Linked DNA regions of Arabidopsis thaliana. Each later gene encodes a partner of the first gene's protein in a complex. Each region holds a gene or a part of one and is shown on either strand. Other genes may lie near its edges.

The links. The genes of interacting proteins can lie anywhere in the genome.
Region 2: THO5 (region 1) and TEX1 share a complex: the UniProt entries of both Arabidopsis thaliana proteins name them as parts of the THO complex.

Annotation. Positions count from the first base shown.
Region 1 is NC_003076.8:17,205,464-17,211,308, reverse strand, and holds THO5 (THO complex, subunit 5), read left to right. Parts: upstream 1-1,658; 5' UTR 1,659-1,786; coding exon 1,787-2,038; exon of another isoform or gene 2,039-2,103; coding exon 2,104-2,394; intron 2,395-2,473; coding exon 2,474-2,810; intron 2,811-2,886; coding exon 2,887-3,224; intron 3,225-3,332; coding exon 3,333-3,580; intron 3,581-3,833; coding exon 3,834-4,425; intron 4,426-4,510; coding exon 4,511-4,645; intron 4,646-4,732; coding exon 4,733-4,999; 3' UTR 5,000-5,338; downstream 5,339-5,845. Other genes in the region: AT5G42930 (alpha/beta-Hydrolases superfamily protein), read left to right, coding at 1-191, 320-571. UniProt on the Arabidopsis thaliana protein: Acts as a component of the THO subcomplex of the TREX complex which is thought to couple mRNA transcription, processing and nuclear export.
Region 2 is NC_003076.8:22,721,959-22,726,805, forward strand, and holds TEX1 (Transducin/WD40 repeat-like superfamily protein), read right to left. Parts: upstream 3,142-4,847; 5' UTR 3,108-3,141; coding exon 3,042-3,107; intron 2,946-3,041; coding exon 2,850-2,945; intron 2,676-2,849; coding exon 2,546-2,675; intron 2,234-2,545; coding exon 2,142-2,233; intron 2,032-2,141; coding exon 1,963-2,031; intron 1,778-1,962; coding exon 1,720-1,777; intron 1,604-1,719; coding exon 1,504-1,603; intron 1,412-1,503; coding exon 1,325-1,411; intron 1,241-1,324; coding exon 1,162-1,240; intron 1,067-1,161; coding exon 931-1,066; intron 832-930; coding exon 797-831; 3' UTR 524-796; downstream 1-523. Other genes in the region: AT5G56120 (RNA polymerase II elongation factor), read left to right, coding at 1-235; AT5G56140 (RNA-binding KH domain-containing protein), read left to right, coding at 3,504-3,694, 4,209-4,294, 4,652-4,797. UniProt on the Arabidopsis thaliana protein: Acts as a component of the THO subcomplex of the TREX complex which is thought to couple mRNA transcription, processing and nuclear export. Contributes to the integrity of the endogenous trans-acting small interfering RNA (ta-siRNA) pathway.

The DNA of each region.
Region 1 (5,845 bases):
TTGGACAGCCACGCGTAGGCGACGAGGAGTTTGGAAATTTCATGAAAGATTCACTAAAGAAGTTTGACGTGAAGTATGAAAGATATGTTTATTGCAACGACATGGTTCCTAGGTTGCCTTTCGACGACAAAACACTCATGTTTAAACACTTTGGGGCATGCCTTTACTATGACAGTTTCTATAAAGGAAAGGTTGGTTGCATATATATGACAATCTTGTTTCTTTGCTTTAATCACTCATCCGTCTAATGTCGCTTACGCACTTACCCTACTGATGATATCTATCTACATTGTTGTTGTTTAATTTGTATTATGTTCAGGTAGAGGAAGAGGAACCAAACAAAAACTACTTTAATCTCGTATGGGTTTTACCAAAGATAATGAATGCACTGTGGGAGTTGATACGTAGTTTCGTCATGCCTTATTGGAAAGGTGGAGAGTTCAGAGAAGGATGGTTCTTAAGGTGTTTTAGGGTTGTTGCATTGTTGATTCCTGGATTACCTGCTCACTTCCCTAATGAGTACATCAATGTTACTCTTTTAGGTGACTTACCTGACTCGCATCTTGATTAAATTTTGACGAAGTCATAAATTCTTTTGAAAAGTTGATGTGTTTAGCTTTTCTAGGGTCTCGTTTCGGTGATGTAGGTGTTATTTTCTTATTTTGGCCTTAGATCATCCTTTCTTTCTCGCAATGATTCTACGTCTCACTTTATCTTTATCTGCATCAAGAAAAGAAATGCATAAATATTTCAATAAATACTTAGTGAAACGATTCTCTTACCTGCGAGTTATACACACAAGCAAACCAATATAACAATCAACAAATAAATCATGAAATAAATCAAACCAATGAACAATCATCCATTGACACAACCATCTCGGGGGATTGAATAATGGTACCAAAAATACTGCCTATACATACAACAAATAAATCACACAATCTCAATTGCTTAGATAATCTCATGGTCACATACCCACCTCGAAACAAGAATGATTTTGAAACCAAAAACAACAATCCCACAACGAGCAGTAACTTCCTACTCACCAACAATATCTCAACTCACCATACATCCAACTACAACAGCAAACCAACCTTTAACCTAAATTGGAAAAAATCTGAAAATAACCCAAACAATTGGTCTCAAATATTGAGTCACGAATCGCAATCTAACCGTCCAATTCAAATCTCCACCGTTGAAACTCAACCCTCAAGATGTCCTGAAGCTAACCTCAAAGTTTAGTGATGATCTGACCGCAGGTGCACTCGAGATAATTTGTTTAATACACTCTGGTCTAAATCACGTCTGAAACAGAGGACTTTACGAAAACACAGATAACTTTTAGAATATTAACTCAAATCCAAATCCGCAAAGTGGTAAATCTAGTTATAAGGCTTAGCTACAACTCAATAAAATTTCCGTACCATAGAAGGCTATTTGATTGATCAAACCTCTGTTCTACCACGACATATCTGATATGTCTCTCTCTTCCTTCACCAAAATTATCAAGTAGTTTCCTTTTTGGTGTTTTTTACATAATATTTTTGATATCAAACCAAATTTTTTCTTGTCTTTATACAGAATTTTCTGAAAAAAAATGTTACATAATCTCTTTTACGCAATTATCATCCCATCATGGAGTAGATATAATATTTGTAACAAAATATAGTTTACATAAAAATCATAAATAGTTTGACAAAAAAACAAAGAACAAAAAAAAAGAAGAAGAGAAAAATCATAAATCCTGTCAGAAGTACCGGAGCGAGCCTGACTGGAGAAATCGAGAATGGAGGACGGCGAAATAGAGGAAGGAATGGTAACTGCCGACGAATTCCCGACGCCGGAAGTAACTACCATAGAGACTATACAACCTCCCCGAGAGCCAGGAAAATCTCCACTCGAGCTACTTCGAGAGAGCAAAACCTCCGTAGAAGAAATCGTCGCGAAGATGCTCTCCATGAAAAAACAAGGAAACCACAAATCTGAGATTCGAGAACTCCTCACTCAAATGTTCCTCAACTTCGTCAATCTTCGTCAGGTACTTACCAATCTTCTCCCTCCACCTCTTTCGCTATACGATACTTATTAGGGTTTTTTTCGCAGGCGAATCGGGCGATTTTGACTGAGGAAGATAAAGTGAAAGCGGAGACGGAAAGAGCAAAGGCACCTGTTGATTTCACGACATTGCAATTGCATAATCTTATGTATGAGAAGAGCCATTACGTTAAAGCTATCAAGGCTTGTAGAGATTTCAAATCTAAGTATCCTGATATTGACCTTGTTCCTGAACAAGACTTCTTTCGTCATGCTCCTGAAGCTATCAAAGATCAATCGCTTTCAAGTGATAGTTCTCATGTTTTGATGCCTAAGAGACTCAATTTTGAGCTTCATCAGGTTGGTTAATCATCACCATCTCTGAAATTCATTCAACGTGATATAATGTTTCATTACCTTTTTATGTTTTTTGATTCAGAGGAAAGAATTGTGTAAGCATCGAGCGAGATTGGAGCAACAGAAGAAGAGTTTATTAGAAACCATTGCGGAGCGTAAGAAGTTTTTGTCGAGTCTTCCTCTACACCTTAAGTCTCTGAAGAAAGCATCGCTTCCAGTACAGAACCACTTGGGTATACAGCACACAAAGAAACTGAAGCAGCATAATTTAGCTGAGCTGCTTCCTCCTCCGCTTTATGTTCTATACTCACAGCTCTTGGCACAAAAGGAAGCTTTTGAGGAGAGTATTGAATTGGAGGTAGTTGGGAGTCTTAAGGATGCTCAAGCTTATGCTAGACAACAATCCAGAAAGGACTCAGGTAAGTTGTTTTGAAAATTTACTGTGTTTTCTAATACTAAAACGAAAAGAATGCTAATTTGGTATTGGTTTTTCAGGTATGTCGAGTAATACAGAGAGTTCTAGGTTGGAGGATGATGGACCTGATGACGATGATGATGGACAAAGGAGAAGAAAACGACCCAAGAAACTTACTAGCAAAGAAGGTTCTGACAAGGCAGGATTATATCAAGTCCACCCTCTCAAAATTGTCCTTCACATATATGATGATGAGATACCAGATACAAAATCCTTGAAACTTGTCATTCTCAAGTTTGAGTACTTGCTGAAGTTGAATGTTGTATGTGTTGGCGCTGAAGGCTCTCAGGATGGACCAGAAAAAAACATATTTTGTAACTTGTTTCCAGATGACGCTGGACTTGAGCCTCCTCATCAGGTAACTTTTTGTTTCTGTGTTTCAGTTTTCTTCTACATGTGACTTTTGATGGCTTTACTTTTAAAAATGCATACTCAATTCTCTTTATATGGCCGGTTTTCCATGCAGTCAACCAAGCTCATCCTTGGTGATGGTCAGACGTTTGATGAGAACAGAACTTCAAGGCCTTATAAATGGGTACAACATTTGGCGGGAATTGATATTTCACCGGTTTTATTAGGCCAAGAAGCTCATAACACTGACCCAGCTAAAAGTGATACGTTTGTGCCTGATCTTTCATTGTATCGCCAGCAGCATAGAGTGCAAACAGTTCTGCGAAGAATACGCTTGCGGAAAAAAGCGCATCTGGCTCTTGCGTGAGTTCACCACTCTGTATGTTTTCCGTCTTAATTAAAGAACACGATGCAAAGAATTCCAGAAAATTAGTAGACCACCATGATAATCAGCATATGGTTTGTACATTTAATAGTTTGGGTTTGTCAATAACTTGGCGGTCAATTTAATCCCTCTGTAGCATTGTCAACTTCGTGATAAGAGCTTCTATAGGTAATTATTTCTGTTGATATGTTTATTTTTGCTGAATACTTTGGAAACTTCTACTGGCTACAGGGAACAGCTTGATTTGCTTATGAAACATGAGTTACCAGTGGTGAACTGCGAAGATGCTCCTTGGGCACTGCATAAGGTTCTCTGTGCTTTGGATTCCTGGTTACATATACAATCTTCAGCTAGTAAGTCATGCTCTCTGACTCTGAACAGTGTGGAACAAGTTCCAGAACCTATGGAAATCGATGTAGATGGAAGATCTATTTCTGGAAAAGAAGATTTTGAAAGTATACGGGAAGATGGAGAACTTCCCTCTTTGGTCACGGCGGCTGCTTCGTTAACCAGTTCCAATCATACCCCATCGAAAGTATCTAATCAAGCACGGTCAAGGCAGTTGGCCTTGATGACAAAGAATCTAGATTCTCCGATTAGCAAAGGAAAGTCCCCAAGTTTCAAGAAATACGAAGATGATTTGGATCTTGTTCTGGACGATGATAGTGAAATAGATGAGCCAACCGGAAGAACTGAGGCGCATGTGGAAGAGTTATGCCCTGAGAAAGCTGATAATTCATGGGTGGATTATGGTTCGAGAGAGTTTGCGCTTGTGTTCTCCAGGAAAACAGATGGCGGAAAGTTGTGGAAGTTAGAAGCAATGGTAACTTCTAAAACACTATCTTCTAATACGGTATCTTCCCTATATCTTTTTCTTTCTTAAGTGTTAAATCGAGTTGTATTGGCAGGTACAAATTAGCATGGAGTATCCTCTTCGACCTCCTTTGTTTTCTCTGTCTCTCCACGCATCTTCTTCATCAGGAAATGAAAATGGGACAAATGAAAGTGACCATTACAATGAACTTCGAGCAATGGAAGCAGAAGTAAGTGTCAAACCCAGTAACATATACTAATCTTTACTCGATGACACCAAAGATAACGCCTTTGTAACCTTTTCGTGGCGGTATCAGGTGAACCTTCATATGTTGAAGATTATTCCTTCAGATCAAGAAAACTATCTCCTATCTCATCAAATCAGATGCTTAGCAATGTTGTTCGACTATTACGTGGATGACCCATCTCCAGATTCCAAAAGAGGAACAGCCACAACTGTGGTTGATGTCGGTTTGTGCAAGCCTGTTGACGGTAAGCTTCTTGTGAGATCATTCAGAGGCAGAGATCACCGGAAAATGATCTCATGGAAGGGCAGAGGATGTGCATCGGGTTATCCATGCTAGAGATTACATCGCCACTCACTTCTCTATATTATCTTTCTCTGGTGGTACAAGCAAAAGTTTTTGCATGTAACATTTTTTTATCGTATAAACCGTTATTGAAACAGCCTACTTGTTGGGTGAGGACCTGGTCTGTTTTAAACCTGGCAATGTTTCAAGTCCAATCCGTTTTAGCCTGCTCTGTTTTGGTCTCGATTTAAGCATTAAAGCCTAGCGGGTAGCTTGGAAACTAGAAAAGTGAAAAAGGGCTCGTCACAGGTTTTGGAGAAAAAAAAAGGAATCAACTCGTAGACAACCGTTATTACAGGTTGCTACTGCAATCATTGACAAATGTTGTTCCTGCAATTGGAGGTAGTGAAGAAAACAAAACCAAATCAAATTGGATATTAGTTTATAACTTTCAAGTGATTATATAGTTTGATTTACTTTAACTTTTAGTTTTTTTGTCATCTTATTTAAGTACAATTACCAAGGAAATATGCAAGTTTGAATTACAAGAGCGGGCGGAAAATAAATACATCCCAAAAACTTAATCCAAAAGAAGGAAGCGAATCCCTAAATTACAGGAAAACTGTCAAACGTAAATTTTTACATATCAAAAAGACAAAGCAAAATCAAAGGCATGAACGAAGACCTAAGAGGAACCACGATTTGCTAAATTCACTCCCATGTCCCAGGAAGAACAAAGCCAACCACAAAAGACAGTGAAATTTTTCGTGTTTTGTTGCAAATGAATCAACACTGAATTTTTTTGATTTATTATAGGAGTTATTTTTGTATATTGCAAATGAATCAATAGTGAAAAAATTTAGCAGCAATTATTGAGCCTATAATATAATTTTATAGTTT
Region 2 (4,847 bases), 5.5 Mb from region 1:
TAGGGAGAGGAATGATAATAGAACGCTTACACGGTGTGTTTTGGAGTTGAGGATGAAAGGGTCGAGCTTTGATTTGTCGAAAGAGCCGATGAGTGGGAAGAGGATGAAGAGTTCAAGCGTTGAGATCAAGTGGAAACCTGTTACTTGGTTCTCTCAGTATTTGATAACTATTGTTCTTCTTTGCTCTGCAGGGTTGTTCTTCCCGGTCTCAAAGTTCATCCTCTGCGGATTTTGACAAACTCTTCCTATTCACTGTTTGTTCGGTAAGCAAATCGTGTGCTCTTCTTGTTCTTTAATCCAAAATTGGACTCTCAGTAATAAATGTGTTTTCTTTCTCAGGACTCTGCATTCTTTCTTCAACCTTCATTGTGGGGATGATGCTTTTGGTCCGATCTTACCATTGGCCTCTGTTCTAGCTTTGAGAGAGTAGCTGTCAAATCTCCCAGACTGAAGATTCGCCGGAGGGAATAAGAACAACCTGTAACTTTTAGCAGTACTCACACATAGTAGAAAATTGATGTAATTCGGGATTAGAATTCTGATCTTGATCTTATTAATTTCATTCTTCGTTAATAATAAACAACATTGCTTGTATAGTAACAAATTTTTGCAATAAATAAAATGCCAGATTCAGAACTGCAAACTTTCAATGTATTTAGTGATACTGTAAGATTATTCCAACTTGATATACTGACAATACATATTTAGGTACACTAGGCACATAAACTTTTTCTAACTCAACAAGGAACAATCAAGTGGAGTTGTGTATCATGTTTCCCGATTCAGTGCTCTGTTCCTACGAGCTCTCAAAACCAAATATCCGGAAAACACCTGCAAAGAGATCCAAGTTGTTGTCATTGTTCATTTTCTGCTACCAATATTAGAGTTTTGAGTTGTTGCTAACAATGAAGTACTAATACGCGGTAGTACCTTCATCAGTATTATACTTGGGATTCTTGTCATCACCTGCATATGCAAGTAAATTGTATTTGGGATTCCACTCAACACTGTTCATGGCTGCCCGACATGGAATCTGATGCACCGTCCGCCCGGTTTGGACATTAGCCTGTTTGGTAGTTAGTGGTCAGATACGAGGAACTAATCTCATATTGAGGAAACTACATTGAAATTAGCAGTGTTTAAGTCTGGGCAATCACTTACAATATCAATGAATAAATCTTCACTGGCTGAAGCAATATACTCTCCCGAATAGTTGAAGCTTATTGTTCTGACTGGCCACCTGTGAGAAATAGTTATAAATTACTAACATGTAACAGAAATTAAACCTTTTTCTACTCTATGGAAAATTCATGTTGATACTCACTCAAGTTTGGTAAATGTTCTCAAACAAAGCATGTCTGAGATATCCCAAAGGCTTACTAAGGAATCCGCACTCCCGACAGCAAAATATCTGTTAAGGTAAAGAGGAAGAATTAGATGCAAAAGCAAAAAGATTATCATTCGTGTCTCAGAGGCCAGCCCACAAATGTAAATATATATTACCTCCCTTTAGGATCAATTGCAATACAATAACACCCGGCTGTGTGGGCTGTGAGAGTGTCAAGTGGTTTAAGAGATGGATATGAAAGAACTTCAACAGTGCCTGAGCAGGACAACATACAAAGTAACTTTCAGTAAGATCATTTTCTCAAGTTCAAAAACAAAGAAATCTTTGGTAGGGAATCGTGTGCAGGAAAGTACAGAATTTAAAATCCTCACCAAGTCCAGTAGTCAAGAAGAAAAAATCTCCAGGCATGTTCCAAGCAATCTCATTAACCTGTTACAAGAAGACAAAAGATAAGAGAACATTCCATACGGCACCAGAAAATTACTTGACGATTATTACATGAACAAGGAACTTAGGTGACATATAACCGCATGAGCTTGAAACAGGAGATACGGAAGAGCCTTATAAAAAAAAAGCCATTAATAAAGATTAACATGAGTCTGAGCTTACGTTACCTCATAATTGAATTTGCGCCTGTGTAGAGGTTTAAACTTACGGACATCCAGAATTGTAAGCTCATCATCCTACATTGGCCAGTAAGAGAAAGGACAACGACTATGAAAAGGGATCTATCAAGTAATCCATAGACAGTAAGAACAATGAAAGTGTAAAGATATGGGGCTCGAGACAATACCCTATTACCAACAGCTACATGTGTCCCGTCAGGTTTGTAGGTGATGTTTATATTCTCTCCACTAAGTTCTACCTGCTGTGTGCATTTTCCACCTGTAGAACTCGAAGAAGACATATCTCAGCAATTGATAGTAAAACATACAATAGTAGCCACATATCAAAAACCTGATCAAATTCCTCTCTTATGGAATCTGGCTAAATAACTAATTTATAATTCTAAGAAACTTAGATCCGATCCTCATCAATCAATAGTCTCCGCGATATGACTCAAAAGCAAAGGCCAAGATTGCGAGAAATATTTGTGAATGACACATAGCTAATCCATTAGAAAATATACAGATTTCTAAACCAAGCTCCAGGCATATTTCAGGAGCAAAACTAAACGATTAAAAGAATATAACTTACTGCGAGCATCCCAAAGACGAACGCTTTTATCACCAGAGGCAGTAGCAACAAGATCTGAATGTTTGGGATCCCAACATAGCTGATCCACACTATCAGTATGACCCTTTAGCTCAAGGTCCTTAGCCTTGCTCTGTATCCACACACCACACAAACAACCAAATTACAAAAACTACATAACTCAAAAAGTAACAATGACAAAGATAATAATCGAGTTTTAACTCAATCTACAATACTTCTCCATATGTATTCATCATCATCAAAAACACATAGAAGTTCCCATAGCTCAAAAAGGTAAAGAAATTACATGACCGTGTGGTTCGATATTCCAAATGCGAGCCGTTTGATCAACAGAACCCGAAGCAAGCTTTGTTCCATTCGAATTCCAAGCTACTGAATGTACCTTCAATCCAAAAATTCCCCCAGATTCAGCAAAAAACTAGGGTTTCGCAAGTTTTATTGAGTACAGAAAATTAGACTGGAGATAGAAAAAAAAAACCTTCTTCTTATGACCTTGATATTCTCTGCTATGTAAGCTCTTGAAAGGAATCGTCGTCTCCTCCATTTTTTAATTCTCAACTCTTCTTCTTCAACCTTCCTTCGCGGCCTACTGAATATCAGAGCTTCGCTTCCTGAAACGCAGCGTTTAGTCATTCCGGTATAGATAAACCGAATCGAATTTTAGTAAACCGGATGTAAAAAACCTTCTAGATGGTTAAGAGTCTTCAGAGAGAAACTAACAAGAAGAGCGGTAAAATTGGGTAAAATATGAAACAAAGAAAAAAGGTGAAAAAAAAAACAGCTAAGCAAACAACAAGTAATCATTTCACAGTCTCTATAAAATGACCTCTTAAATCCACCGACGTTATAGAGAGACAACAACAGCTTTGGTTCTGCCTCCGCCGCTTCTTCTTCTTCTTCTAATCTCCGACAGATTTACTCTGATTCTGTTGTCTTCGAGATGATGATGATGTCGTCGCTTGGTGGTGGTGGTGGTGGAGGAGGAGGAAGTGGTGGTGGTATTGGTGGTGGCGGCGGAGGGAGGTTTATGACGTATTCGTCGTCTCTTTCGGTGCCTCCTTCTGCTCCTCAGTCTCCTAATTACTCCGGTGGTCTCCGATCACAGTCTTCTGTCTTCGTTGAGCAAGAGAAGTAATCGAATCTTAGTTTTTCATCTTCTTTTATATTTTTGTTTTTTATTGTTTGGTGATCTTTTATAATTAGCTGATGTATCTGATGAAGTATGTTGATCTTTGCTTTGCTGATTTTGATTTTTAGATCTTAATAGTGTATCTCGAATCTGGATTTTTGTCTTTTTTGTTTTCTTTTGATTATATTAGGATCTATGTTTCGGAACTAGCTCAGTCTATTTCAGATTTGTCTCAATCCAGTTCATTTTTTGTAAAGCATAAGTCTTTAGTGTGTGAGGATCATTTCATTGGTTGTGTTCGTTTCTGTTATTGTTGATTTCTGTTCTTGGCTGATGAAACTGTTAAAAAAAATACGATTTTTGGAAGATTGACTAGATCCACTTCACAAAAGAATGGAAATTTGAATCTGGTTGTATCGATTTAGAGTGAATTTGAGTGTATCTGTTTGTAAGTTTGATGTGTCTTTGAGGCTTTTTTACTAATTTGGATACTCTGCACAATTTCTGTTTTGGCAGGTATCTTTCAGAGTTACTTGCAGAGCGTCATAAGCTTACTCCATTCCTGCCTGTGCTTCCACATGCATTTCGGCTACTAAACCAAGGTGAGCATTACTGTTTTTGTTGTTTATTATTTGTATTTTCATCTCACATAATACTTCATTCTTTGCTTCAGATTCATGAAGCTATAATACAGTTGATAAACTCTTAAACAGTACTGCTAAGAGAGACCTAATTGTTAGCTATTAGAAGTAGATCACGAAATGACTAATTCTATATTTCTTATACTGACTTCATTCTATTTAACCAGAGTGTATTTAACTAGAGTGAGAGCAAAAATATATTTTAAGCTAACTCAATTAACTATGCTGTCTCTCCATTCATTGGTGTCTTGGTGACTGATTTGTTGACTAATTCTAACTGGTGCGTCTTACTCTTGCAAATTGACATTTTTGGAACAGAAATTTTGCGTGTAACCACACTGTTGGAGAATGCTACAGTTTTAAGTCAGAGTGGGCTTGACCACCCTAGCCCTCTGGCTTCTGGAGGGATATTTCAGAATGCAAGAGCTGACATGAATGGATGGGCCTCCCAGTTTCCATCAGAAGTATGACTACTAACCATTAACATAACTCTCTAATTCATACTACTGCAATA